Drosophila melanogaster: one gene and its partner. The protein of the gene in region 2 interacts with the protein of the main gene of each other region in a pairwise test. Each region holds a gene or a part of one and is shown on either strand. Other genes may lie near its edges.

Evidence for each region.
Region 1: the proteins of CG9445 (region 2) and CG14190 interact in a two-hybrid assay, tested with the Drosophila melanogaster proteins (one large-scale study listed by BioGRID).

The regions. Positions count from the first base shown.
Region 1 is NC_004354.4:19,050,383-19,066,628, reverse strand, and holds the start of CG14190 (uncharacterized protein), read right to left. Parts: upstream 9,719-16,246; 5' UTR 9,625-9,718; intron 1,232-9,624; 5' UTR 1,216-1,231; coding exon 1-1,215. Other genes in the region: Diedel3 (diedel 3), read right to left, coding at 15,791-16,156.
Region 2 is NT_033778.4:6,832,725-6,847,793, forward strand, and holds CG9445 (uncharacterized protein), read right to left. Parts: upstream 6,332-15,069; 5' UTR 6,079-6,331; coding exon 5,866-6,078; 3' UTR 5,350-5,865; downstream 1-5,349. Other genes in the region: CG15236 (uncharacterized protein), read left to right, coding at 1-207, 891-963, 1,031-2,202, 2,769-3,345, 3,803-3,969.

The DNA of each region.
Region 1 (16,246 bases), on a different chromosome or scaffold from region 2:
CAGCGAGATGGTCACATCCGGACCAAAGAGTCGCAGTTTCTCGCGCAGATGGGCGCTGATCAGCACGCGCCGCGAACGGCTGGGGGGGTTGGTCACCGGACGGCTGACGGGAATCGGCGCCTCCTTGACTGCCACTTTGGGTGGCGGCGGCTTAGGAGCCACATCACTGCGCAGCACCCAGGGCTGATAGACCGGCTGGACAATGACCTTGGGATATATTTCATTCTCCAGCGGATTGATGACGTGTGCCAGGAAGTTCGGTACCGGCGGCAGTGGAGGAGGCGTCGGCGGGCGACGACGCTTGGTTGCTCGCGGCTTAGGTTTGGGACCTGGCTTCCGGCCACGCTTACCCTTTGTCGCCGGCTTGGGGGCGGGGGGTTCCGGCGAGGATTCGGGGTACATGGGCACTGGGATGGGGAAAAACGGGCGGATTGTCCTGTTGTTCAAGGACGCTGGTGGCACATAATAATCCACCAGCTCGATGATTGTGTTTGGTTGCTCCACCATCACCACCGATGTTGGCTCCTGTTCCACATAGACGACATTGGTAGTGGAAGCATCGTTCGTGGAAAAAGTGCTCGTATCCATGATCATTTGTGGATTCTCATTCACGGAAGGATCGTTGATATTTTGTTCGTTTTGTGATATTTCGACCAACGGTGATATCATCTGGGACATTTCATTTCTGGGAACAACAGTTTCATTTCTCTGGACAAGGAATGTCTGCGTAGCAAGAATGTCCTTGAGTCGGGTTATACCATCTGGGATGGAGGCAAATGTGTTCTCTTCCTGGGCTACTCCATCCATTGGAGATACTGGGTCACCTGATGCGCATATTTCAGACATTGGCGCAATTGCGTTCTCCTCATAAGTTTGAGACACTTCTCCCATTCCGGTAACAGGAGTATTTTCCGTATCCTCGGACATATGTGCTTTGAATATTGGCGCGATGCCCTTCTCCTCATAATTTTCGGACACTTCATCCATTCCGGTAACAGGAGTTATTTCCATTTCCTCGGACATTTCTGCTTCGAACATTGGAGCAAAGACTTTCTCCGCAGATTTTTCGGACACTTCATCCATTCCGGTAACAGGAGTTATATCCATTTTCTCGGACATTTCTGCTTCGAACATTGGAGCAAAGACTTTCTCCGCAGTTTTTTCGGACACTTCATCCATTCCGGTAATAGGAGTAATTTCCATTTCTTCGGACATTTTCTGCTTTTGGTGCCTGGGAAAGAGAAGAGGTCAGTTTGGCAGAATTATGGTTGAGAATCTCCCGCCCAGCAGCACCACATATTAATTTGCATTTGGTTCAAGCCTCATTTGCTTTTATTCCTGCTGACTCTTCAACTCAAACCCACTACCAATTTCATTCCCTTTCTCGCTCCTGGTCAGTCAACAAATAGGTACAGATCAAGAAAAATAGTATTTTAATAGTAGCATTCCACAGTCTTCGGGTGGAGACGTGTTTCTTTCAAGCTACGAATAGCAAGTTCTAAAAACTACAACAGTATAGTGAAAGTTAAACACAAAGTGTAAAGTGCAGTTTGCACAACTAACAATTATTGACTATAGTAATTATTTACTAAAATAAATAATTATTCCATATTGTTCTGGTAATTGTTATATGTGGACTTAGAACAATGAATCAAAACGACATACGTTCTCAGCGACAATGTGAACAAGACGAGCGCCGGCTCTCTTTACAACGCAACAATGCATACTTTTCTTTCGTCTCACCGCAAATCGGTGATCGAGCACCCTCACCTTCAACTAACTCGAAACTTTTGCCCTCAGCGAACGACAGACCGCGTTCTTGCTCTCCCTCTCTGCCTGCTTCGGCTCACAAGTCGTGGAGCGAAGAGACCGCCTCTCCTACCCCGCTCCTCTCGCAGCGCCAAACGACCGTCCCGGGTAACTGTAACACTGCAATAACGAGTGCAGTGACCTCACTGGCAACTGCCACAACATCAACTTCGTCAGCGGCCCAACTAATTATCGCTGTGCCAGCTGTAAATAATTCAGCAGCACTGACCGTTTGCAACAACAATAATGCACGTAAAGAAGAATCAAAACAAAAGCAGAAGTCGATTTCGACTGTGCAGACTGGCATGGATCGCTACATCCAAATCAAGAGAAAGCTCAGCCCTCAAAACAATAAGGCAGGTAATCAACCCAAAATCAATCGAACCAACAACGGCAATGAAAACTCTGCAGTAAATAATTCAAACCGATATGCTATCTTGGCTGATTCTGCGACCGAACAACCCAACGAAAAAACGGTAGGGGAACCAAAAAAGACCAGGCCTCCACCAATTTTCATACGAGAACAAAGTACAAATGCACTTGTAAATAAACTCGTTGCTTTGATTGGTGACAGCAAGTTCCACATTATCCCACTTAAAAAAGGAAATATTCATGAAATAAAACTACAGATCCAAACAGAAGCAGACCACCGTATAGTGACTAAATACCTAAATGATGCTGGTAAAAACTACTACACATACCAATTAAAAAGTTGCAAAGGGCTACAGGTAGTACTTAAGGGCATTGAAGCAACAGTGACACCAGCTGAGATAATTGAGGCTCTGAAGGCCAAAAACTTTTCTGCAAAGACAGCTATTAATATTTTAAACAAAGACAAAGTTCCGCAGCCACTATTCAAAATAGAACTCGAACCAGAGCTCCAGGCACTAAAGAAAAACGAAGTGCACCCAATATACAATTTACAGTACTTGCTACATCGGAGGATCACCGTGGAGGAGCCGCACAAACGTATCAATCCAGTTCAATGTACTAATTGCCAAGAATACGGCCACACCAAGGCATACTGCACCCTTAAGTCCGTATGTGTTGTCTGTAGCGAACCTCATACTACCGCAAACTGCCCCAAAAACAAGGACGATAAGTCTGTGAAGAAATGCAGTAACTGCGGGGAAAAACATACTGCAAACTACAGAGGCTGTGTGGTGTACAAAGAATTGAAGAGCCGCCTAAACAAACGTATTGCCACAGCACATACATACAACAAAGTCAATTTCTACTCTCCGCAACCGATTTTTCAACCACCCCTAACTGTCCCAAGCACTACTCCAACAATTTCTTTCGCTAGCGCCCTAAAATCCGGACTAGAAGTGCCCGCCCCACCGACAAGAACTGCTCATTCCGAACATACACCGACAAACATCCAACAAACACAACAAAGTGGCATCGAAGCTATGATGCTATCCCTACAGCAAAGCATGAAAGACTTCATGACGTTCATGCAAAATACTTTGCAAGAGCTCATGAAAAACCAAAATATCCTGATTCAACTTCTTGTATCTTCAAAATCCCCATAATGGCTTCCCTACGGATATCTCTGTGGAACGCAAATGGCGTTTCACGGCATACACAAGAGCTCACACAGTTCATTTACGAAAAAAACATCGACGTAATGCTACTATCAGAAACGCACCTCACAAATAAAAACAATTTTCATATACCAGGATACTTGTTCTATGGTACAAATCATCCAGATGGTAAAGCTCATGGAGGCACTGGAATACTCATCAGAAATCGCATAAAACACCACCACTTAAACAATTTTGACAAAAACTACTTACAATCTACGTCCATAGCCTTACAACTCAACAATGGTTCAACGACTCTAGCCGCAGTCTACTGCCCACCGCGCTTTCCAATCTCTGAGGATCAATTCATGGAATTCTTTAACACACTAGGTGACAGGTTCATCGCAGCGGGTGACTATAACGCCAAGCACACCCATTGGGGATCTCGACTTGTGTCGCCAAAGGGTAAGCAATTGTACAATGCGCTTACGAAGCCAGAAAACAAGCTAGACTATGTATCCCCGGGTAAGCCTACATACTGGCCAGCAGACCCAAGAAAAATCCCAGACCTGATCGATTTTGCAATTACTAAACATGTCCCCCGCAACATGGTCACCGCCGAAGCACTAGCAGATTTATCATCAGATCACTCACCTGTTTTTCTAAATATGCTAACTCGCCCCCACATCGTCGACCCACCGTATAGACTCACAAATTTTAGAACAAACTGGCCAAGGTATCAAAAGTATGTCTGTTCACACATAGAACTAACGACGGCATTATCTACAAAGGAGGATATAGACAAGTCAACGGAAACTCTTGAAAACATTTTAGTTTCGGCTGCAAAGGCTTCAACCCCGCCAGTGACGTATGCAAAACCAAACTACATCAAAACTAATCGCGAAATCGAGCGGCTGGTATTAGATAAACGACGCCTACGAAGGGATTGGCAGTCTAATAGATCACCAATTACTAAGCACATGCTTAAGATAGCCACACGCAGGCTTACCAATGCTCTCAAACAAGAGGAAAAAAACAGCCAACGTTCATATATCGAGCAACTCTCTCCCACCAGCACTAAGTACCCTCTTTGGAGAGCTCACAGAAACCTAAAGACTCCAATAGCGCCAATTATGCCACTCCGAAGTCCCTCTGGCACCTGGTTTCGAAGTGATGAAGAAAGAGCCAGTGCTTTCGCTGACCATTTACAAAATGTATTCCGACCAAATCCCTCTACCAACACATTTATTCTCCCTCCTTTAATAGCAGCCAATCTAGATCCTCAAGAACCCTTTGAATTCCGACCATGTGAACTAGCAAAGGTTATCAAAGAGCAACTGAACCCAAGAAAATCGCCTGGCTACGACCTAATAACTCCAAGAATGCTCATTGAACTCCCAAAGTGTGCTATTCTTCACATCTGCCTGTTGTTCAACGCAATCGCCAAGCTTGGATACTTCCCTCAAAAATGGAAAAAGTCGACCATAGTAATGATTCCAAAGCCAGGAAAAGATAAAACGCAGCCATCATCATATAGACCGATAAGCTTACTAACATGTCTTTCAAAGCTGTTTGAAAAAATGCTACTCCTTCGGATTAGCCCTCATCTTAGAATAAACAACACACTTCCAACACATCAATTTGGCTTTAGAGAAAAACATGGAACCATCGAACAGGTCAACCGAATCACGTCAGAAATTCGTACTGCTTTTGAACATCGAGAATACTGCACAGCCATTTTTCTAGACGTCGCGCAGGCATTTGACAGAGTGTGGCTCGATGGACTTTTGTTTAAAATAATCAAGCTGTTGCCCCAAAACACACATAAGCTACTGAAGTCATACCTATATAACAGAGTGTTTGCAATAAGATGCGATACAAGCACTTCACGCGATTGCGCAATCGAAGCTGGAGTGCCGCAAGGCAGTGTACTGGGTCCAATCTTATACACCCTGTATACGGCGGATTTCCCCATAGACTACAATCTAACAACCTCCACGTTCGCTGATGATACCGCGATACTCAGTCGCTCGAAATGCCCAATAAAAGCCACGGCACTCCTATCCCGACACTTAACATCTGTAGAACGATGGCTTGCCGACTGGAGAATTTCAATAAATGTTCAAAAATGCAAGCAGGTTACCTTTACCTTAAACAAACAAACATGCCCACCACTGGTCTTGAATAACATATGCATTCCACAAGCCGACGAGGTAACATATCTGGGAGTTCATCTGGACAGGCGGCTCACTTGGCGCAAACATATAGAAGCCAAATCGAAACATCTTAAACTTAAAGCAAGGAACCTCCACTGGCTCATAAATGCTCGCTCTCCACTTAGTCTGGAGTTCAAAGCTCTTCTATACAACTCCGTCTTAAAACCTATCTGGACTTATGGCTCCGAGCTGTGGGGCAACGCATCCAGAAGTAACATAGACATTATTCAGCGAGCACAGTCAAGAATTCTGAGAATTATCACTGGAGCGCCGTGGTACCTTCGAAACGAAAACATACACAGAGACCTAAAAATCAAATTAGTAATCGAAGTAATAGCTGAGAAAAAAACGAAGTATAACGAAAAGCTGACCACCCATACAAATCCCCTCGCAAGAAAACTAATCCGAGTATGCAGTCAAAGCCGGCTGCACCGCAACGACCTCCCAGCCCAGCAATAAACTTATTAGGGCATTAATGAAAAAAAAAAACTATCACTAAGTGAAAGTTAATTAAGTTAGATTAAGATTTGAACACTTATTGTTAGTCTCTTAACACAAAGGGAAGATTCAATAAATAATAAAAAATTAAAAAAAAAAAAAAAAAAAAAAAAAAAAAATAGTAATATTGAATTAAATGAGTGAATTAAAAGCAAGCATGAATAAAAGGAACTTGAAAATGCGTATCACTTTCATGTTGTGTATTAAAAAACTCCCAACGAAGTCAACTAGAATTTTTGCAAGTGCACACACACAATCTCTGCCCCTGTCCACAAACACGAAAAATGACTGGCAAGCCGCAAATACTTTGTCAGGCTCAAGTTGACAGTCGTCCTGGATCCTGAGTCCTGAGTCCTGGTTTTGTTCCTGGCGCCATAGGCTCATTCTCCCCCCCTCTCCCACTCGCCTCTGTCCCCACGCATTTGACACTTTTTTGCGGGGAGCCATATGCCGGCGATTCCCCGCCCTTTCATCTCAGCCCGTTTTTGCGTGTGCGGAGGCATTTGGCAGAACAGATTGTTGAAGATTTGATTTCGGGCAGAGAGCTTTGCCACTGGACGCCGCCCTGCCCCTGCCACTCCACGCCACTCCTCACCCACGCCACTCCTTCCCCAACATTCCCGAACATCCAAGCATCCCAGCATCCAACGACCAGCCACTGGAACAATCGTTAATCTAATGAAAGATGACATTTCATGTGGGCCCGGAGATGTTTATGTCCCAACAACACTTGAACGGGCTGTGGCATGTGACCACTGAAGTCTCCACTTCCACTTCCACTTCCATCTCCATCTCCATCTCCACCAGCAGCTCCACCGAGATGGCTCTTCCAGTTGCTCGCATCTCATCCGATTTGCTGGGGGCATTCATCATTCCCCGGCTTTCGGCTTTCGGAGCTCTGATGAATAAGCGGCTAGTTAAGCATCAGCATAGTCTGAAGATGGCCAGGAGAGTGGGATGGTTTCGAGATGAGGAAGCTGGCTGCGATCAAAGGTCAATTTACAAGCCGGGACTGACTCATGACCAAGATATCTGGCCTATATATCAAATAGTAGGTCATTCGTCAGTTAATATGCAACGTAGTAATTAGAGATATGAGCTACGTGGGTAGGCGAACTGAAGTCCCTTGAGACTTCATATATGCCACGATTTGTTCAACATTAATCAGTTGCAAAAATGCATTGTTAAACTTTAGCTATATGCTTTATATGAAAATATATTAAAATAGCACTCAGCCAATTTAAGTTGGATACGAAATTTGCGTGCAACTAATGCAGTTACAGGCACAAAGTCCTTGTCCAAATTAATCTCATTAAACTATAGTTTGCTATTGACCATTGGGCTCGGTGCCATGTTAACTAGATGCCACGCCCACTTCGGCTGTCTCGCCGCCCAGCACTCAGTGGCTCAATAAAATTTGATTAGCCAAACAGTTCGGCGCGGCGACATGGACAGGACGAGGACCGGGCCAAATCCTTGTGAGGCCCCAAGAATATCAGAAATTATGGTGGCCAAACGGGATGGCAGGGCGGTGCGACCCCACCAATTTCCGGGGGACATGTGTATTGTGTATTCATGGCGCCTGGCGGCAGTGGAGAGCAGAGGACGACGCGGCAGGACATCAGGCAACTTTGGGTTAATTTACATTATAAACTTTGAATATTTTATTGTTTGCCCAGGCTAAGGACACCAGCTGGCCCCGGGCGAAAGATCCTGGCCACTGCCTTCTGGCCCCTAGCTAGTAATAGCTCCTCCTCCTCCTCCGGCTCCCTCGATTCTTCCTTCTTGGCCACGTTATTGACACTTTTGCGGGCAAGTGGGCAAGTGGGCAAGTGGGAAAGTGGGAGTGGGAATGGAAATGGGCTGGCTAAAAGGTTCTGTGGTCAGCAGAACGAGGTCTGTGACTCTGATTTAATGGCGGCATCAACATTTTGGGCCAAATTATGACGAAGCTTGGTCGCTAGGATATCACGCCCACTGGCCGCCCATCATTAGCATGGGCTTTTGCTTGTTAAGCTTTTAAGCATCGAGTTACTAAATAATTAAACAATTTCCCTCGCACACGAAATCGTCCACCAAATTCGGTACATGAAAGGGGCACAGAAATAGGTGCCTATTAAATTGAACTTCATATAAAGTGAAATGCCGTTGAATTGTCCTCGTTATCGAATCGCTAATATCTGACAACTCACGGTCTTAATTATGCATTTTATTTGGCCCTTCGAGTCGAAAATTCAGAGCCGAATATCAAATGTCAATTAGTCAAGGGCCAAAAGCATAGTTATTAATTTACAATTTATGTTTATTTTAATGAGGTCTTTCTAGCTCAAAAGTGAACAAAAATATACAAATTATCCGTCTTTTTTTTTTCTGAGCGTTATAATATTCTAAATCCTTTTTGCGTTGCCCTACGAACTGCAGATGAAAAGGGGAATTTAAATCTGTATGCAATAATCTGGGTAACGTATCAATACTTATAAATTACACACATACATATGTAATCTATCCAAAAATATCCAGATGAATGAGACTGTACATATTCCCTGTGCATATACATATGCCATTGAGCTTTTTGGCGAACACGCTTTACATTTTCATGGTAAAAGCCACGCATATTTTACTCAAAGGGTATTTAATCCTTCGTTTAGTTTCATTTCAGTTAATCGCAGTACGCAGCTGCATTGATTTTCCCGGATTTCCCGGCTATTGAAAACTGTACTTTATGGGCTTGGAACGTTTTTCCAGAACCGGGCTTACACCAACTGATGAAAGTTTTGCTTTCGCTGCTAATAAGCTACGTGTCGCATTTACCTTTCGGGTGGGCGAAGTGGGTGGCTGTTTTTGGGGGTGGTTGGGTGGCTTTGCAACGCGGCTTTTGGACTAATAAAAACAAGAGACAGTTTAAGCCGTCGTTTCGTGTCGGCTCTTTGTTCTTTTGGCTGCTTTGAACCACATATGAATAAACTGATCCACTAATCCAGCAGCCAAAACACAGAAAACGAGTGGAGTGGGGGGGGGGAAGAGATGCTGTGATGAGGTGGAGAGGGGAAATTAATAATTTATAAATGTTAGCGGGGCGTCAAGTATTAAGAACGGGATTTTCAACGCCTTTTGCTTGGAACTTTTCCCGCGGGGGAAAACTTGACTGGGAAAACTCATTTAAAGAAATGCTCCGCTTATCACCGCCCTGGCATCGAAATTAGCCAAAGCAAAAAAGTGCGCCGAGGAAAATGGGAAAGCGGCGGAAAAACACAAGGACAAAGAGTATGCAGGCACTGCAATAAATTATAATGCAAATCCGCCTTTGAGATCGCAACAACAACAACAACGGCTACAAAACGGGCATTAAATGCCCGCCACTTGACTGCGCCACACATTTTTCCACATTTTTTCACATTTTTTTCACATTTTTTTTTCACTTTTTTTTCGGCTCACTGCGTCGTTCTTGTTGTTCGTCCATTTAAAATGATAAAAATCGCTGGCAATTTCTGCGCCCGCGATGAATGAGATGTTGAGAAGGGGCTTGGCAGGGTTAAACGCTGTATTTGCTGGGCAAAGGGAAGCTTTTCACTCACCAATCAAACGAAAACTGCTGCAACTTCAATATCTTGATTCAACTCGAAACCGTTTTTTTTCGTGAGCTCCGACAACTTTGAAACTAGAACTGAAATTGGGCATTTGAATGCTCGATCCGGCCAAATTCGATTGACATCCCGTCCACAGTCGACTTGTGAAGGAAAAATGTCGATCAGGTACTAAGTACTATGGGTTTTTTTTGGCATAAATTAATATCTCGTAACTACAAAATAAAATTTCCAAAATTTCCAAATTTTTAAAAACACATTTATGCATAAAAAAAGCGATCAAATTCCCCATTTTGAATTGTTAAGCGAAAATCTTTGTTGCTGGTATGCTCAATTAATAGATCTTTTGAAGACACCAAAGGCATTCATACCAACAATAATAGTGTCATATATTTTCTAATACTTAGAAATCCAATAGGTTTCTTATCCGAATGAGTATTGAAAAATGAGGAATATCTTCACTTCTTAGAACCTCGAGAACATCCTTCAGTTCTCTACAACAGATGTTCCCTTCTTTTGGACCCACATTTGGCTCATCACAAGAGAAACCGTTGTAATCCGACCTCGAAAAGGGGAACTTCTTCCTGTGCAAATTTATAAACATATGTAAATGCTTAACCGTATTTAAGGACCCAGTCCCGCCTCCATTCGCCCATTTAATCTGCCGCAAAATGTTTGAAAATTGCACTTAAAGGCGCAAAAGTTTAAATGCGAAATGCTGACAAATGCGTTTCGATTTCCATTCACCAAAAGGGGGCTCATCGTCGGGTATTTCATTCCCCATATATGTATGTACATATCTCAAAGTTGGAAATTAAATTAAATTTCTTTATTGGCACTTTTTTTTCTGCATTCGTTTCATTTCGTTTGCTACGCATATGCATATGCAAAATCCAAAGAGGGTGTCCTTCACTGGGTGGCCAAAAAGGGGGTGGCTGGATGGGTGGCTGGGTGGTTGGGTGGCTGGGTGGCTGGGTGGTTGTATGGACAGGCAAAGCAATCAGCAGCAATAAATGATAAGCTTCGAGGCAACAAAGCCCAAGCCGAAAGACGCACATGAACACAAAGAGTCGTCGTCTGGGAGGCGGAAATTCCGTTTTCAGGAAAGGAATGAGAGGCAGAAGGAACGTCTTAGATGCCGTAGCCCAAGAAAACTGTCATCCACAGGAAAAGTGGTGGCGACTCACTGGGAAATAGGCTTTCAGCGCTCGCTTCTGCTTGGTCAATATCGGAAAATCGAAGAGGGTGGTGGGGGGGAGGCGTTTGCTTGTCTGGGGCTACTTTGCAACATATTTGCCGCTAACGAAGCGCACAATTTCCAATAATGCCCAGAATGCGTCTGTGAGATGCGGATGCTGCTCCTCCATACCCTCGAAAACAATTGACCCGGTGTGGCTTGGCGTTTTAATCTCCTTGTGAAAAAAGCCACCTGTGGGTGCAACTAAGCTGGAAATGAGCTATGATGGGCATAGGTGAAATTATGCTCAGATAATATCTTAGTATTCAATTTTATTGATAGGCGAAATGTAGTAATAATGTACAAAAAAAATTCTGTGTTGCTGGAACGAAGCATCGAAAAATTCGATTTAATTTTTACAGGGTATCCCGTCATTTCAACCCCCAGTTGGCGACACCCTCTGTGCCACACATATGCGAATACAATTGCACGGGGTGTTTGGCTAGGGCATGTGTCCTCATAAAACGTACGCCAAATGGACACAAACACTCGCCTTTCCACTACGGTGATGTGACTTGTTGGCCGGACTTGGGCCGTAATGAGTTCCCTTGTGGCCGGAGCGTATCGCCTTTTTTTTATGGAGCCATTGCTATGGCCAAAGCCGCCCAATGGGGTCGTGTGGTGGTGAGTGGGCGTCAAGGTGAAAGCCACTTAAAGCCAAGGGCAGGGCTCAACAATTTCCAGTTATCATGTGACAGTAATGAAGTGACAGACGGCAACAAGGAGATCCGGGCGCTGAGATCCGAGCGCTTCGAGCTGAGCACCGTGAAACGAGAGTATCGAGGACATCGAGGACACCGATGACAACTCGACCGCAAAGCTTCAAGTGCGAAAGTTCAACGTTTGGGTGGTTTTAAAGCCGTTTAAAGGGCCTTGAGCCTCGACATTTGGCCATCCTTCATGGCACCATCCTCTCTGCTGCAACGTTCGCCCTGCGGTTCTCGGACAGCGGCCACATTAATTATTAATTGCAGAATAATTGCAAAATTGTGTTTGGCCAAGTTAATTTATGCAATAAAACCGCCGACCGGCCCATTCCCTGATCCTTTTCGTCCTTTAAAGTCGCTCGTTCACTCAATTTGCCACTCTTCATTCCGTGTAATTCCTTCGCTCATTTGGAGCCGGCTGCCTTTCTTCCTAATTTTTTTTTTGCTTTTTCGACTCGCTCGGCCCCCAGCTAATGAGCCACTGATGGTCATGAGCCGGCGACCCTGTCCCTATTCCTGTTCCACGTCCCAGTCCCCAATAACAAACCAGTTCCAGGACCGCCTCCTTTTTGAGCCAGAGCAATTACTTAATCATTTGCCTAACGACCGAAAGGCAGGCGAAGGCAACAACAGCAGAAATTAGCAAAAATTAAGTGAGAGTTCAAGTGAATTTGCGGGGCAAAGGATTGGGATTGGGATTGCGATTGGACGAGTAGAGGTCGACTCCATGTGGCCGGATTGTGGTAAATTGTAGTGCGGTTTTTCCAGTGCGGTCAATGCTGAAAAGTATGCTACGTAAAATATGCTAATATGCTAAACTTATCTTTTGGTCATTGAAATTTATTCGGGCAGCATTTGAAATGCATGGCAATCATACAACAACGACACATGCAGTTCTCTATTTGCTTCTCAACCGGGGCAAAATAAATTATGAAATAAATTAATAACAGATTGTTAAATATAAAAATTCGTTACTAAAGTTGATATCAATAAGTATTTCCGATGATCGTGTGATTCTGTCTTTTTTAAATGTTTGATGGTTTGTACAAAAAAAAAAAGGTACTTTAACTTCTAAAGATATACATATGTTGATCTTACAGAAGCAATAAGTAGATCTTCTATCTAGTTTTCAAAGCATCATAACATCCTTTTGCAACTTTGTTCGCTTACTTGTTCGCCTTCTTGTCGTGAATGAAAAAGTCCTTCCTGAATTGGATGAAGTCAAAGTGAAGGAGGGTCAGGGTGGAAAAATCAACATAAGCATTTTGATATTTCAAATATTTTTCATTCAAAATTCCTTGGCCGAGCCATGGGTTCGCCCAACAAACACGATTGAGATACTCGTGGCCTTTGACCTGGCTTGTTGTTATTTTGTATTATTCTTCTACTTCTTAAAGCTGGGACAAGAGCACCAGTGCTGCCACAATGCCCGATTTGCATTATACAAAAGTTGGTTAAGGGTCTCCAAAATTTAAGTTTTCCAGTATGTTACTAGGGCAATTTCTATGAGCAGTCGCAAGTCGTGAATGCTGATATTTTGTAATTTTTTTTCTACGATTTTAAATGGCTCCTCATAACTTAAGCCTGGCAACCCTGGTTTTCAGCGTGTGCACTTGCATTTGCCTGTGCATCTGCGAGATACTCGTGCTTGGGTGTGTGTATCTTATGGATTTCAGTTCGGGCCCAGGCAAGCATATAAATCTATTATCCTTTAATTTAGCCACAGAAATAATGAAGCATGTAAGAGTCTTTTGTGTATCTTCGTGCCTGTGTGTTTGTGTGCCACGCCCCCTGCTCCACGCCCCTGCTCCCTTTCGCCCCTCCCGCCCCTGACACACATAAATTCAATCAACGGCAATTTGCCGGCAGAGTTGCAAAGGCGTCGACGTCCGCAAATGTGCAATTTATTTATTGTTACTATCGCAAAAGCCTCTCGCGGTGGCTTTTCTACCCAGTAATTGGTTGCTTTGGGTATGTTATATTATTATATTCTTATCTTTCATTTTCCTTAGTATCATTACTTTTTCCATATAAATTCACTTGTATTACCTATATTAATGATCACTGAAAACTAAAGGTATACGAGCTGCTATTAAGAAATCTATTTAGGAATCAAAAGTATTGCTTCGCATTTTGGATAAAAGTCATCATCCAGCAAAGTAAAAGCAGTTTTGCCCAGGGTATTCCCGACGCTCTTGACTCGACTTAGGCCTTGCTCCAGCTTGTTGTTATATCTGCAAATTGAATTTTCGTTTAGCATTTGTGCGATTTTGGCAATTCATTAAAATTGGAGCGGTGTGGGGTTTTCCAGCTGCAACTTGCGCCCGCTGCAGGCAAATGGAAATGCAAATTTCCCGGGCCAAGACCAAAAAAAGGGGGCTAACGGCGAGGAAGACACAAAGTGACGACAAAGCCGGAGCGTTAAATTGGCAACACACACATGCTGGGGAAAATGTGGCAGCATCTGGCTTGGCAGCTGCCTTAATTAGTTAATAAGAAAAGCGAGTTTCGGCGCCTTTTGAGCCATGCATCCATGCATCCACGCACTTTCCACCCACCACACCCGTTTCATCGGATTCGCAAAAAGCGGACAGCCAATAAGTGCATAACCCAGTTGGGGATACTCGGCTACCCGGATATCCAGATACTTGGCTACTTGAATACTCGGTTACGCACTCCGATTCTCCATGATCCGGATGGTCCGGCTCGTTATCGGCTGCCTCGATTAACTCCGGGAGTTGCTGGCTAATCGCATCAGAGGGAATTATCCCGGCCAACGATTGATTTACGGGCCCGGGGACTCGGAAAACTGAAAGCTGAAATCTGAAAACTGAAAACTGGCGAAACTCTTTTTAAGCTGCTGCAATCTTGGGATGTTCGCAATCAATTCCATTTGATACTGAACGCTTTTTTCCTGTGGGCACGCTGCCACGCCCACTCAATTGAGTTATGATTTATGGCCCGGGCAACAGGTGAGGGCGGACCAGTCACCAGTCGTCCCCTCGATGCTGGCCAAACCGGACACGATCCACTGCAAAGAAAACTTAGTGTGTATGATTAAAATGCGTTGTAAACGAAAGTTGAGCATCGGATGCCATTTGTATATCCTGCCGTGCCACAACTCCATGGATATTTCGTCGAGTGCATCCCAATGCCACGCCCCCTGCGAGCCGCAGGCGTAAACTTTTCGCGCCTCTCGCGCCATCCTCATAAACTGTCCCCCGCTGACGTCGCACTTGGCATTCAGGACAGGACAGACCAGCAGGCCAGGACACTGTTCTGCGGAAAGTCGGGGATTGCCAACAGAATGAAGGACGAGGACGTGGACGTGGACGGGGGATCTGCAGTTGGATTCGGTGCCGGAGTTCCACTGCCAACTGATTAAAATGCGTTGCAGGACTGTAAAAGGCGTTGAGTCGACGCCGACTGAGCAGCCAGCGCCGCTGCATTTGCATTTATATTGTTTTGACCCGAGCATTATTATCATTTCTTTTCGCCCACGTCCACGCCCAGTGCCACATCCACTCCTGTTTGCACGCGGAGCGCCACTTTGTGGACACGTAGTTCTCCTGGTCCTGGTCCTTGCCCCCACTGATCCTTGATTATGCCACCGGCATAAAGCCAACTTTGGCCGCCGCCCCCGCCCCACGCAAACTTCTGTTTAGCGGGTGTTTTATGGCACTTTTTGAACCCATTCAGTGGGCCAAAACTTTGAGACGCTTCCCGCGACAGGGCGTCATAACGAGATACAGCACTAGATATACGGATTATACCCGAAAGCACAGCGATTGGATGGACGGATGATTGGCTTTCCGGGGTCGAAAGGTCGTCCAGTTGCCCAGTTGCCCAGTTGCCCAGTGAGGGGATAATGCAATCTAAATGGTAAAGTGATAACTCCAGCGACCACTTGAATTGAATGGTGAAACCTAACCGCGCTTATGTGAGATGTCCTGAAAACGCGTTATTAAAATGAATATTTTTGCTGGCAAGTTCCATCACTAAATTGAATCATTTATCTAAGGTATAATTTTAATACTGTATACGGTATCTGAATTAATCTTTAAACATATTCACTTCGAATCGCTCTGGTAGGTATATTAACAATCAGCAAACTTGAAACTTTTACCACGTAAAAATAACATCTGTTTGATACGCTTTATTTTACTCAAAGTTAAGTTTTTTTTTTTTTGATTTCAATGGAATAAAATTAAAATTAGGCCTCGGTATCTGTTAAATTGGCAAGCCTCATTTGGGTGCTTATCAAGTTGATCTGATACCTATTATTTATTTCCACAAATGACTCGCCATAGTTTCCAGTGAGACAGCCGCCGCGACAAAAGCATCCAATGATATTGCACGAACCCACGCCACAATATGTGCCCTTGAGCACTCTTCCATCCGCGCAAACTGTGGCCTCGCATCCGTATTTGGTGGTCTTGGCATTGACCATTCCGCACGATCCTGTGCCCATCGTGAAGAGCAGCTTGGCCTTTGTCCAGCAGCAATCTGCGCCTGATTCGCCGAAACAGGACACCCAGACAACAAGGATGAGTAGCACTGACACCGAAACCGCTCGCATTGTAATCGAATAACTTATTGAAAACTTTATATTGGGCTTTATATAGGAATGGTTCTATTAACTTTAAAGCGCTTTTAGTTTTACCCTTTA
Region 2 (15,069 bases):
CAGCAGATGCTCAGCGATGCAGAGCTGCAGCGGCAGGGGCTGAGCGACGGCCAGGACAACGCCCTGGATGGCGACTCCGCGGCAGCTCAGGGGACTGGAGCAGGGTCCCACTTGGATGCGGTATCCTCTGTCCACGACGACCTGGAGCCGCACAGCAGGGCAGCGGCGTGCTTCACCAACGGGCACAAGTACACGCACGGACAGAAGGTAGGATGACGCCAGAGGCAATATTTCAAATCGGTCTTTCACTGGTTGAACGCTGCTATTTAGTCAGAAAAGAACAGTTCACTGGCTTAAAAACGAGTTAAATGAATTATAACAGTGCTTAGCCGTACATTTGTGGTTTCTGTGCAACTCGGAAGCAGCTAGAGAAGTTCCTGCAGCACCTTTGTAGCTAAATCAGTAGCGAAAATGTTAGCTAGACCTGTATAATTTAACAAGTACTATGATTTTTCTACTTCGTCATCTTCTTTTGACTCAACCCTCGTTTTATTCAGTGAATCCTTCAGACATCCGTTTTTGTGGGTGTAAGGCTGCAATGGAACTCTGCGTCTGTGGTCATTTGAATAACCATAATCGGACGAGCGTTCCTGGTAATTGAACAAAGAGAGTGCATAATTTGAATTTGTGGCTCGTTACCGCACATGTGATGATATGAATGCCAGACCCAGAGCAGTCTCCCTGCTCCTTCAGCCGAGATGTGTGCTTTGCTCGCCCATTCATTGTATCTCAGGCCATCAAATCGGCTGGCGTTGTGATTGATTGTCTGGTTGTGGGTGCACATGTTCCCACATGTTCAGTGTACATATATTGTATAAGCCGCAGGAGCACCTGCTGGCCGAACTTGTCGGAGGAGAAACATCTAAGTTATTTGCTATATCCCTTTCCAGGTTCCGCGCCTGGATGCCTGCGAGGTGTGTCTCTGCATGGACGGCGAGATCTTCTGCTGGTGGGAGAAGTGCGGTTGGTTCTGCGTCGGCTTTTCCCGGCATGCATAATATAACGAGAAACTTTTGCCTTTTTCTCGCAGATAAGGCCAATGTAAACAAGGCGAGGACGGCGGGGGACAACGCAGGACTTGGACTTGGTGTCGAGGACGACGGCGACGGCAATGGCAATGGCGATGGCGATGGTGACTATTCAGATCCATATCGCCACGAGAGCACAACGGGAAAGTCAACAAAAGTGCATAAAGCGGCGAGGAAAGTTGGCAAGCGGCATAAGCATCGCAAGAATCAAAAGAATTTTAATGACTACGAAGTTTACCACAGCCAGCGGGAGAAGCAGCAGCAGCAGCAGTCGGATTATAAAAAGTCCGCCATAAAGCAGCAGCTCCAGATGCAGCAAAAACACAAAAGCGACAAGAGCGGTGCTGGCAACTACAATATAATCAAGCAACACAAACACGAGCAGCAGCAGCAGCAGCTCAAAATACCGCAGCAGCTACATCAGCAACAGCAGCAACAGAATGTGGCAGCTTTGGGTGTTAATCACGCAGCAAAGGCAACGCATTATCAGCAGGCAGCTTCGACGCCCCTGCCAACTCCCCCACCCCCGTCGGAGCACCCGCAGCACAGCCACCACCCACACCAACAGGCGCACTCGTCCAGCAAAATCCTCAACTTCCCCGAGAACTTGCCAGCCCTGCTCTACTACGACTACAAGACGGAGGAGCACGAGCACCACCAGCACCAGCACCACCAGCAGCACTTGCTGCACGAAAAACAGCGCTTGCTGCAGCAGCAGCAGCAGCAACAGCAACAGCAGCAGCAGATGGTGCAGCAAGAGGCGTTGGCGCGACAAAAGGCATCTGAATCCGCATCTGAGCCCGAATCGCGGGCCGGAGGCACAGCAGAGGGAGGCGTTGAACCCAGCGGAGACTTGGCCGCTGATAAAAACTCTGATGAGGCGGAAACCGACAGCGATATTCTGCCAGAGCCGCCTACAAAGCAGCCCAGGGCAGCTGCCACACAATGGCCAACTCCATCTAGTAACAGCTCGGCCAGGGCGTTGATGACGAGCAACGTGGCATCCACATCCACGGCTGCGACAACGACAACGACAAAGACATCGAAAACGAAAACGACAACGGCGACAACGGGAAGGACGACGACGACGACAACGGCGACAGGCACAAATGAAATGGTGACAAGCACGCTGTCTGGAATGGAGAAGTCCGGGGCCACAGTTGCAGCCACAGATGTGAGTTGGGAGGTTGAGTAGGGTCCTCACTTTGGTCGGGCATTGTGTTGGAAAAGTAGCGCAAAAACATATCCATCTCCAAACGTAAGCATTGGAAATAAATGCCAGAACTTCCTGTTAGATTAAAAGTTGAGGGACAATGTTTGTCCTTTCTGAGTGATACTGTTATTGTGCGAATGATAGTCCTAAGGAATCTTCAAGAGACTTCCTCCTTTGTTGGGTGATTTTTCTAATTTTAAGATGAACTAGGGAAGCGAACTGAAGCCAAGCCTCCTTACAGACTAAAACTATTATCCTCCATTTGTCAGAAGCTCAGGGTATTTATAAGACTCGGTCCCCGAAAGTAGCTTTTACGGAAAACCCCAAGGGAAGGCCTTACCCAATTAGTCTGGGGGAAACTGCCACTTCATTGGCTGCCCGGACGAGAAGCTTGAACTCTGCGCCTTCGGTGGTGTGCCCAGTGAGCCCGAAATGCTTCTGGTAATGGGGTTTTTCATGCTCGAGCTGGTTTATTATTTACCATGCAGTCAAGTCGAATTAACAGTCTGTGCTTTATTCCCGACCAGCTTGGACAGATGCAACCCGATCGCCGTGGACCAGACGCGGAGCGAGACGACGCCTTCCACCGCTGGCTGACATCCACCGAGCTGAATGCTGACAACACAAACTCCATGGACGACAGCCTGGAGCGGGAAACGCCGGCATCGACAATAATCGATGATGTTGGCACGGCCAACAAGAGTGACAGGAGCATCGGCGGCATCGGTGGCATCGGCAAAGACAATGGCAACGACGCCGTCTTCTTTCGCAGCTCGTACAACGATTACAGCAGCGAATTCAATGGGAGCGTTGTCAATATTGACATTACACTAACTGCAGTTGATGTGCATCCCCGTCGCCAAACGGATTTAATTGCAAATGGCAACAGAACGTCAGGCGCTAACGACAATGGCAACAGCTGTAGCAGCCAGGTTGGAGCAGCAGGAACAACAATGAACCCAGTGGCAGTCAGCACCAGCAGCAGCACCAGGAGCAGCAACAATCAGGATCAGCCTCAGCAGAGCCCTGTTGTCCCGCCGTACACCCTGACAACGATTATAACAACTGCGCCGATGGCACCAGGGCGTATGTGCAATGTTTTGGGTAAGCAAGCAAGTCGAAGGAGGTGGCCGTCCAAGGGGATTATCGTAGCACAGAGAAATAAATATCCTCGGGCATTTGCGGTCAAGCTGCTATTTGGTCAGTTTGCTTCCATCTGTTTGAGTTTATATTACTATACTTTTTCATTGCGACAAAGATTTTGCCAGACTAAAATCGTATTGTCAAGTCCTTTGCGTTTTGATAAGAACTGCATCAGCTGAGTAAGCCTATTTAAAATATTATTTAAGCCTTTTCAATCATTTTGCTAAATTCAGTAAGAGAGGACAAAGCCAAATAAAAATCTCTGATAAAATAAGCGGTATAATCATTCGATTGCCGGCTAAACATTCCGACGTGAGTCTGGGTAATGAAAACAACATTCCCGTATTTCACTACTGCGCATAACAATTGCTCACTTCTAATCCCATTTAAACTGCAAATCAAACGCTACTCGTTCTAGGCAAACTGTATAAAATTGGTGACATTCTGCCGCAGGACACGGGCAACTGCCTGCAGTGCATTTGCACGGATGCCGTGACTCCCGACGAGATGCCGAGCGTCACCTGCAGTCCGCACAATTGCCCACCGCTGGTTCTTCCGGATCTGTTCGATGCGACTGGTTACTGAGGTTACGGGTTTGTGCTGTAAGTTGCTGCAACGGCAGGTGGCAAGTGGCAGGTAGCAGGTGGAACGCCCCTGCGGCATGAGCTGTGGGAGTTTTTGAATAGATCGAAGCGTGATTTAAATTTTGAAACCGAAAGCCACAACTGCAGCCAGCAAACGAAATAGAATCGAAACGAACGAACAAACGAACGAATCGAATCTAATCGAATCGATTCGAATCACACTCACAACAACTGCACTACAGAACTCACTCTTGAATTGCATGTCACGGTCTCAACTAACTCAACTCAATATGAATTGTATGGATTTCAGTGTAAAGCCCTCCCTATCACGAGTGCCCCAAGCACTCTCTAAAACGAAACCTATCAGCAGACATATATTATATTCGTACCAAACTATATAGTATCGATCCAAGCCGACCAGAGGGGAGAGAGGGGAATGAATAAAGAAGAAGAAGGAAATCGCAGTTGGCTCACAGTTTAGACTTTAAGCTGAATGTTTATGCATTTTATAAGAATCCGTATTCATCTCTCTCCGCAACAAAAATCCATTAATGTATACAGCAGTAGCAATCGTAAAGAATTTATAGATGTACCAAACAGAAGTATATAGTATATACAAACATATACGAGTATCTACTCTATATCTAAATCTAATATCTAAACCTATACCTGTGCGTAGCGAGTTCGGTGGGATCAGTTTGATTACTTAGATTATTTCCCGACTGAGAGGAAACCGTGTAGAGTTTTCAGTGTATTTATCAACGGAGAGCCCCAAGTGAAACGAGTAACTTATACAAATATAGGAAACTAAATCTAAACGAAAAAAACTGAACAATGACAAATAATGAACAACGTGTGTAACGTGTGTATTTTAATTTTGATATTAAAAGCAAACAACGTTCTCCTCATTTGCATGCATGTTATTGTTTCGCGCTTCTTTGGAAATTAAGCCATACGTAATCTATGAATCGAAAATTGACGTTAGGAGCAATGTATGGACATTGTTTAAACAAACACAAAGTTGGCAAGGAAAGACACCATATCGAGTAGCTATAACATTTTAAGGAATAATCCCCACTGTATTTAATATAAACTTAGAATTTCAAAAATTGCGGAGATTACCGAAAATCTATTTGTTTTGGTTTCTGGCGACAAAGACAGCATTTATTTCAAAGCAAGTTTAGGCGTGATAAACATTGATTTATTCGAAAGGGGTTAAAGCGGAATATATAATACTTGAAAAGTAGAAAACAATTTCGATTTTAAGGCAAATCAAAATACATTCGAGCGAGTTTTTTATAACCGAGCTCGAACAAAACTATACTCGTATGGGCATGTGAACCATGGAATCAAAATGCAAAATATACGTACATGCGAATATACCGATGCAGACAAACGTAAATATTTATTATTGATGTTGCACAAGAGAGCGTATGGTAAATTCGAAGAAAAATAGAAAAATTCATCTTGAACGAGCATATTAAAAATGTATACAAATATGCGTATTTATGTATGTGTAAAATAAATGTAACTACAACTCTCTACTAATCTGCAACTCGCACACAGATACAGATGCACCGGCATCCCTGTGTTTAAATGGAATTTGTGTTTGAAATCAAATTGAAATCAAATCGACATGAATAAACCGAAACCCAACTAAGGCATTTCGAAACATGGCTCTATTTCATTTCAGTGTTTGTAATCCTATTTGCAAAAGGTAAGACTGCGAGTTAATTAATGCCGTGCATCATTGTCCATAATGCGGGCGAATTGGTCCACCGGCATACATAAATCATGTAGCCCAAGGTTGGTGCAACATTAGATACATATATTCCTCTTATGATGGCTCATACATGGGTGCTATTTACTAAAGTATCACTTTACTCTTTCCATCCTGCTAGTCGTCTTCGCTGCCGGACTCGAAGCCTGAATCCTCTTCGAGTTCGGCTAGAATGAAGGCTTCTATGGCCATCTGCAGGGCAAGGACGTCTCCTTCGCCAGGATCGGGTCCTTGCAGCATGGCCGTCGGTGGACCCGCGTAGTGGGAGAAGGCTTCGCGCTGCCTGCCCAAGGACCGCACCGCGAGCTGGTTGTCCCCTCCTCCGTCCATCTTAGTGGGTCCGGTGCAGGGCTATTGGTACCCGATCGGAGCTGGAAGTCGGCTGGAAACAAATGATGGCGCTTGGGCGCTGGGCTTGTGTTTTTTGGAATTTTGAGTATATGCTTTTCGATCGGCATTCAAAACGTGTTTGAATATCCCTGGCCGATGTGACAGGCCTCGCAAAAGCAGTGCGAATGCGGAAATTGCCTGCGGCAGATTGGCTGTTTAATATTGTTAAATAAAGCGCTTCGGGACGAGTTATTAGTTTTCCAAAGCCGTTTGTGTTTGTGTGCGCAGCGCAATCATCGCAGTGACAGCCGACCGCAGGGCACTTTCAAGCTGTGTGTGCGTGTGTGTGTGTGTAACCGGAAGCGGAAGTCGCGTCCCGTTCCGTTCGGCGCCGCTCCCTTTCGCATGCCGCCTACGCACGCATTACGTACCCGCCCCGTTGCCTGACCGCATAAAGCCATTTGGCCATTTTGGCAACAAGCCCTAGCCCACAGCACCCGCTGACACAAAGTAGTCAGCCGCACAATACTTTGCTGTCAATTTGTGATAACGGCAGCTTTATTTGAAAATATGTGCGACTTTATTTCCCGGCTGTGCCGAGCCGATTTTGCGGCCACACTGGCTGACAGCTGCTAGATGGTTTGTCGGTTGGCCAGCAGTGGATAGTGGGGTGGTGGGCAGTGGGCTGCTGATAGAACGTGTGAAATTGAATATTTACAAGAGCCCTTTCAGGTGGAAGTGCCCCATGTTGTCGGCCATGAATAGTGGGGCTTAGAGCGATTTGCGATGTTCGACTCGCAAAAGGAAGCCAACAAAGGGTGGCGGATCCGTTTCAACCACTTCTACCGAGCCGAACCGAGTTCGCATTCCGCATTATTATTTTTATGGCCAGCAGCAGTGAGGAGCCGAAGGTCTCAACTAATTAAATTTCCCAGATGTGTGTGTGTGTGTGTTTGCATGCACATATTTAAATTGGCTCTGCCAGGCCACATAGCTGGCTATGTATGACTATATGACTATATTCCGGACTGCATTCTGGGTCGGAGAGTTGGTTGAGCAATGCACATTTTTAATTACGCTGCACATTTGCATTTGAATTGCGCATTTTACAGGCTGATAAGCCGAAATAAAGGCAACAGTTGTGCAGTGGCTGCCAAAGATATGTTGGCTCTGGCCACGCCCCCATGCAGCTGCACACTCGCTCGTGTTTTTTACAGATCCCCAGAATGTGTAATTTTCGAGTTGACAACTTTTGTCCCAAAGCAGTGACCTCGTTACGCCCACACAGCCGGCTATATAGTATACTATACTATATTGCATTAGAGCCGTGCTCCTCCTTCAAAACAGAATCTGCCCGCAGCCATAACCCCAGTGAGCCGGGCGGGCACAAAGGATACGGTGGAGGAGGAGAAGAAGGAGGGACTGGAATGGAATGGATTGGATTGGGTTGGATCGGATGGTGAAAGCGAGTGCAGAATGCCTTTCAATGAAATGCAAAGCAGAGAAAGTTGGAGAACAAAAGGCATACGGAGCTTTTAAATTTTACTGCCTTCGCTTCGATTCCGGGCGCTAATGGAAACCCTGCATTTCCATTTTACCTTCTAGTCCGGGGAGAATTTTCCCGATCGACCATTCTGCTAATGGAAAAACATTCAGCGCTGCGCCTTTGAAATTCTTGAAGTTCAAGGACCCTCTGTTTCAGTCCGTAGGTGCACTACTTCTGTCACTATGTCACTATTAAACGGGAAAATTAAGCTCCCTCCGCAAATCAATGACACTGGTGTCCCATTTCTCGCCATCCCCAAAAACACGTGTCTAGGATGGGGACTTTTCAACCGCCTACTGGGCTGATGTTTAAGCCATTTTTAATGACAGCCTGACGCCTGACAACGGCTAATGATGGCGGCTAGCCAAAGTTTTGCGGCTTTTGCGGATTAAAATTGAAAACGCTTGCATTCATTAATCCTGCCAACGGAAAAACCCAACTAGAACGTGACATGAGGCAGGTGTCGCATTAATTAGTGTAAGCATTCACACGGCTCCCACTCCACAGCTTGCGAAATGAAAGTTTCCTCGGGCGGGCGGTTTCATTTCGCCGAGATGTGTCACTCCGCAATTTGGGTCAAGATGGCTTGAGTTAAATTATTGCAAACGGCATTCCGCACCGTCTTCCTGCCCCTCGAAGTCCTCGAATCGAGGACACGTGCCTATTTGCATAGATAACCTCAGGCCAGTGAATCAACTCCTTTGATAGCCTCCAATAGCAAAAGCTTTCAAATGCGATTATTGAATTATTGGGCAATAAGACTAGAAGGCACAATTAAAACCAGTCTTTGCGCCTAAAACATTACAGTGTCCATCTGAAAAATGTCTAAATAAAGCGGCTTTAATTTTTTAATATCTTTAAAATTTATTTAGGCAGATAAAAAGTGACATTAACATTAGTATGCGTGATATAATAGCCATTTTTTCACACCACTAAATTTCATGTTTTGTGGCAATAACATTTTAATTTACTGTTTTTGACCTGGAGGTAAGTTATGCTAATGTTTAACATAAACATACATTATCGTATTTAATTAAATTTTAAGGCAATGGAATCTAAAAGGCGTCATTGTACCAAAAAAGTACAGTCTCAAAAGTAGACAACTACATATAATGAAGTTTAGTGTTAAAAGGTGAATATGTGAATTTGAATATACTCAATGTCTTAGTTTGCGAAACTGAGAAATGGCTTTAGTCCCAGGACGTGCAAACAGTTGAGCAAGCCTTTTATGAATTTTCATAGAACATTTAACACAATCCAGGAGAACTAGCTCTTTGCCAGCATCCAGCATTGATCATTCAGTTGGCACCGTGTCTGGCCCCAAACAAGAATTCCACAAAAGCGCCCAACTTCCCATCTTATCCAGCCCCCATTTCTGGCTGCCTGATGCCGATGTGTCTGTTACCTGGGGCAAGCCAGAAGGCAGTTTCCAGAGATGAGATGCTCCGAGAGATGAACAGCTGATGACCGTGACTGTGCCTTTGTGCTGGCGAGACCCAGACCCCCAGGCACCCAGTCTTCCAAGTCTTTCGAGTCTTGTGGTGGCATCTGAGGGGTGAACATACAAATTAATCTTCATCTGGCACTCGCACCCACAACACCACCCAACTAAGCTTCTGACCGCTCAAGCTCGCTATTTGAAAGCGATGCGAAAAAGACAATAACAAATCAACGTACTGATACTAAGGGAAAGCTGCCATGGTTTATTGCAATCAACTTAAATCTTAACACTATTATCTGGCAATTATCGGGCATTTTATATAAGCAGTAACTTTTTTGATTGGTCCCGGTCGAGGACAATGAAGTGAAATCGTTTCGAAGCTTACTATGATATATATTAATGATATGATATATATATAGATAAAATAAAGGGAAACAATTTGAACAGCGGCTTACTTGAAACGGACGGATGGACAGAAGGGCATATGGATACGGATCAGGAACATATGTCTATGAATACCATTAGCGCGTACTTTATATGCAAATTTTTGCCACGACGTATTGATTTAAGTGTTATTTAGTACAATTTTCGACCATTTCAGTTTCAAACGTTTAAATAAGAAAAGGTATCATATATTTAAGAACTTGGTGAAACTTTGCAGAAATTGCTTCTAATGGAAACAACTTAGGGAAGTATGTTATTTTTGATACTTCAAGAGTAAGTCGTTGAAATTGATATCAGATTATACTGTTGTCGAGAACTGAAAACTAAACTGTCTATCTAATTCAGATGCTTATTTCTATTAATAACTGGCAGGCAGTTCCACCTCTAATCCCATTGTGCGGAGTGTAAGCCAACGACTGACTTGGTATTTAAAGCTCCTCCGTGACTCGGTCAGAGCAAACAGTTCCTGGACCACTGGCTTCATGGCCCTTTGTGTAATACCTCTGTTGGGAAATGCCTTTCAGCTCGCTCCTCCTTCAATCTGCTCTCGGTCAGAAGCCACTGGGGCAAACAAGTCCGCCCCAATGGGTATTTACCAAGTGTCAGTCACTTTTTCTGCACTTTCCTTAATTACTGTCATTGGCCGCCGCTGCCATTTTGTTCCAGAGCTCTTGTGAATTTGCAGTCATCAAAATATTGTGGCCGAATTATGTAGCGATAGTTGTGTGACGAATTTTGGAATATTATATGCATTTTTCGCTAGTCCTTCCAGAGTGCTCTGTTTTTGAAAGCTGTGGCTTTGAGTTATCCTAGTTGGTCAACAAATGGTTTTCGGCATTTTGGAGCACTTTAACTGGCTAATTCTCGGGCAAAATGCACAAATTGTGTAATTTTCAAGTTAACAGCTCTTGACCTGGTTCAGAGTGGCAGTCCTCCGCAAATCCTTCTGTTGATTTGGTCCGCGGAATTTAGTTTGTTTTGTAACAGCGCTCAAATATGCAAAAGCGCAATTGTGTGTTAAGTTGGCTTTGTTGCCGCGTGTGTGCATGCTTTTAGGCTCAGGGGTAGTCGAGGCATTTTATGCGACTGCCACAAGTTTGTTGGCAAAAGTTTGAGCCCGTAAAACTTTTAATTCAGTGCCTACCAACCAGTTGTTCCCGGCCATCCTATCCATCCAGCCCATCCAGCCCATCCAGCCCATCCAGCCCATCCAACCCATCCAATCCATGGAGCTCATGGTTGCCATGAACAGCAGTAGTAACAGTAACAGGCTTTTAGCGAATACACACATTAAGCCCTTTGCTGCTCGGTCTGTCCTTTATGAAAGGGTTCAGGAGCAAAAGTTTCGCATACACCTTAGGATCCTGCCTGGTGGCTGGCTGTTGGTGCTCAACTAACAACAATTCGGGGGTTAAAAGCGGGCGAGTGAGTGCAGGTCGAGAACAAATGAGGAAAATATGCTTCAATAACAAAACACTCAACACTTAGGAGCACGGGAACAAGTGAGCACAGGACGAGTGCTAAAAGGAACAACGACCGATTTACATAAGGACCCCAAACAGACGCACCAACCATCCATCCATCCATATCCAACCATCCGGAGAAATGCAAACACGACCAGGACACCCAGAACACCCAGAACAGCCAGACACTCGGAAAAACAAGCGTCTATTGTGGCGGAAAACTTTTTGCGCCGTTGAAAGGCATTTTTCGATGCAGAAAAAGATTTATTAATATTTAACAGCCCAGCTAGAGGAAAACACACGAAATTTTCCGGGATATGCAAACATAATAACTGTTGCAGCAGCCAGGGTGAAAGTTCAACATGGACGTAAGTGGACTTTGCTGTGTACCAGTTTTCTGACTGCGACTTGTCCCGCTCCTGACTTCAATATCCTGCAGACTAGCCGGACTGCAGGAAGCACTTTGTGGACGGGCAGAATACCCCACGGAGCGCCAAATGGCGGCCAGTCACGGATTTGGTCCTCCCAGCCCAGATCCTTCCTGCCGGACGCCCACGACCATTGCATCAGGGTGGGTCACATTGTTTGACAAGAAAATGCTGTTGGAGCAATGCATTCCTAGGAAGAACGCTTTAAGCCTCTGCAATCGGATTTAAATGTTAAGGAAAGTTATCATTGTATCACCATTAAATTATGAAGTAATTTAACCGATAGTTTCTAGAGTTTTGCCTTTAATATATATCAAATCCCCTAGTATCAACTTCGAATGGTTAAGTTGTAAGAGGAATTTAAGAATTGTCGTTATAAGTACGTCTTCTTATTATTATGGCTTCAATTTGCTGGTGCTGTCCTGTAAGCTTGATACACCCTGTCGTGCGTTTCTTGCACAACCGCCCGCCACAACGGCAAACAAAAGGGCAGGATGAAGCGGATGGGGATGGGTATTGGGGTTGGTCCGAAATCTGGGGACTGGGACTGCGGCATGCATTATTGAGTATGAAGGACCCACTGATTTTTTCGGTTAGCGACTTCCCTTGCCGAGCGATGACAATGCGAAGAGGGCCGTGCAATTGCCATCAAACGTAGCGCCAAAAGCCGAGCCGAACTCATTAGGCTTGCAACGCCGAGTGGTGGCCGTGCTCTAATTATGCCGTCTCTATCTAATTCCCCTTCCCAGCCAGCTCGGCTTTCTGCTTCGCTTGTGTTCTCCCAGTGTCCTGGCTCTTTGGTGCTTTGCTATTCTGGTGTCCTGGTGTCGTGGACTTCTTTTTGGCCCGCCCAGGCAAACTGTGATTGTGGGCGGAGCGAAATCGGAGGAGGCAGTTCCGCTGGATGGACAATGGGAATGCGATCGGCTCCTCGGGCTTTTGACTTTACTGTTGTCCCACATAATGACCATAAAAGGGGTTCATGGCGAAGGAACTGCTGGTTTGACCTTCAGCGGGCATTAAAAAGAAATAAATAATAAATCAACTCGGGCATGAAATATTCAATAACCTAAACCGACAAAGATTTACTGCTCAGCCGTTTATTTCGTGCGACCCAAGAATAAAAAGCCGGCATGAGAAAAAAAAACACTTTGTAAGCAATTTGGGCAGGAAAAAGCTGGCTGGATCTGTTTTGAAAACTGCCAACTAAACAAGAAGTCACTCAAGGCCCGAAAGCACACATAGGGCCACCCACACGCCTGCCACACAAATTGAAAGAGTTGCCAAAGTTGATTGCTGGCTAAACGAAAGGTGGCCCAAAGCCTGCCCGGCAGTCGGTAGACGGACTATTCTTACTAACCTGGCCTTAACCTGGCTTAGAGGACCGCCTTTGACGCCCTTCATAATTTGCCAGGACGACCACGACAGCCGCACACTTGAGAGCTGCTCTGTAGCCACAAAGGAAAATATAAATTGTTTTTATTTCTGTGCGAACGAGGAAATGGAATAATCAAAAGATAATGACACAAAGGGAAATGGAGGAAAAGTCATCATCGTCGGCCACGTGAAATAGCGAAAGTTTACCTCACAACTACCACATATTTTACAGATGTCAGATAGCGCGTATGCGGGCTACGAACTTCCTAATCCTGGCCAACAACAGCCCGTGTTGCCATCAGTCCGTAGTGCCTGCCACAATTCCGGCAATCTGTCCGGCGGGCGGGGATATCACTGCCAAAAAGACATTTAATACACGCAAATAAATATCGCCGGCGAGTCTCGTGTGCAGTGTACACAGACCGGAAACAGAAAGGCTACAATTCAGGATACGGAAAAGGGTGGCAGGGGTTGGGGAGTGGAAGCAGTCAGTCGCAGGATATGGCCATGAGAAATTAGTGGAGTTTTGCCGCATAAATTGCCGCCCATACTAGCTTATATACCACAGAAGCAATCTGGTTCAGCATTTTAGGGAAATTCTAAGGACTCTATTCTGTTGTGACTACGATGGAATGCAAAAAACTAATGAAACAGAATTTTCGGATTTAATATTCAGAATTTTTATCGGTAGCTTTTATAACTGAAGTTATACACACTATAAATCAGCCAACTATGTTTAAACAATGCTTTCCAGAAATTTATGTGAATTGTATGCCAATCAAGTTGGGCTTCATAATTCATTGCTGATTAAATTTTATGCCAGATGTAGGTAATCAAAAACTGATATACATATATACTAATAATAATAATAATAATAATAATACTCGAAATTGTGAATTGTGCTGAAACTTGAGCAACACAAGCGGCTTTGTGTATCTTGCAGAAATATTTGTAGTTAATTGTTAATTGAATTCAGCTTTTCAAAGTTGTGTAGTTTGAAATAATTGTAACTTGCATCAGTTACATAAACTTCTACCGAAAAATAATAATGATAATCCATAAGATACCTGAAGACGGGAAACATTGTTGTAGGATCTACAGCGAACATGGCGACCAGTGCTAGTGAGTAACTAAAATCACAATGATTGCCGTTGAGGTTTGTTTGCACTTGTTGGCAAATGCCCTAAATACTCGTACGCCACTGTGGTGGTGAGCATTCAGATGGGATGGAAGTGGGCAGTGGGCAGTGGGAGTGGAAATAAAGCTTCGGAGGAGTCACGCTCGTAATTTTCCATAGGCAACATTTGCCATGATAATACGTAATATACATAACAACCACAGTTATGCGAGGCCGGGGGCGATTCCGACCCTCATGCATATTGATGGTATGCCGAAAATAGTTCCTCAAAGATAATAAATAGATGCCAAACGCAGTGGCCAGCGCTAGCAGCTCTGCTTTCGGCCAACATAGCGCACTAAACACAGCCAGCTGCTGCTGCTGTTAACATTTCGTACTCAGCTCGCTGCTGTGGGGTCAGTTGAGTTGATTTTGGGGCTCTGGGGATTACACTGGATAATTGCAGTCTATTGCAGGGCCAGAACCAGATCCAGAGCTACAGCTACAGGCTTCTCAGCACTGCCCCTTCCGACTGCCAAGGTTGCCGGGATCATAAATCACAATCAAATTACTGGCTGATTATTCCGAGTCGGGATGCATGAAATGGATTAATGCCGCACGGCGGAACCTAATAAATCAATGGCCAACAGGAACGGCGCATAACTCGGCTGGAGCACTTTGACTTGGGTAATTAAATTACGTGGCCCGCGGCAGCGCGCCTTTGACATCCCAGAGAGGTCCTTTGTTCGGCTTTTTATTTGCGAATCGACGGCGCAATCTGTTAACGCGTTTGCAAATAAAAATTATCAAATTATTTTGGCCCGATTTCGGGCGGCTCCCGGCCATGTGTGCTCGCTCAATCAATTATTCTGCCGATTTCGGGTATTTGCATGTGCAAATCTGATTTACACGCACAAATGAATATTAAATTGCTTGAATCAATTGAGTTCAAGTACACTCCGCACTCACCCTGCACTCGCTGTAGATTTTTGAGTTCGCAGTGCTCAATCACAATGGCATAAATCGCGCCACGAGTGCAAAGTGAAATTTGGAAAGGTGCCTTCCCGCACTTCCGCCGCTTTCCCCCATATGGATCTCTACTATCCGTCTGCCCGACTTACGCACTCGATATGTCCGAAACAAGAAGTGGAGGAATTCTTCGAAAACTCAAGAAA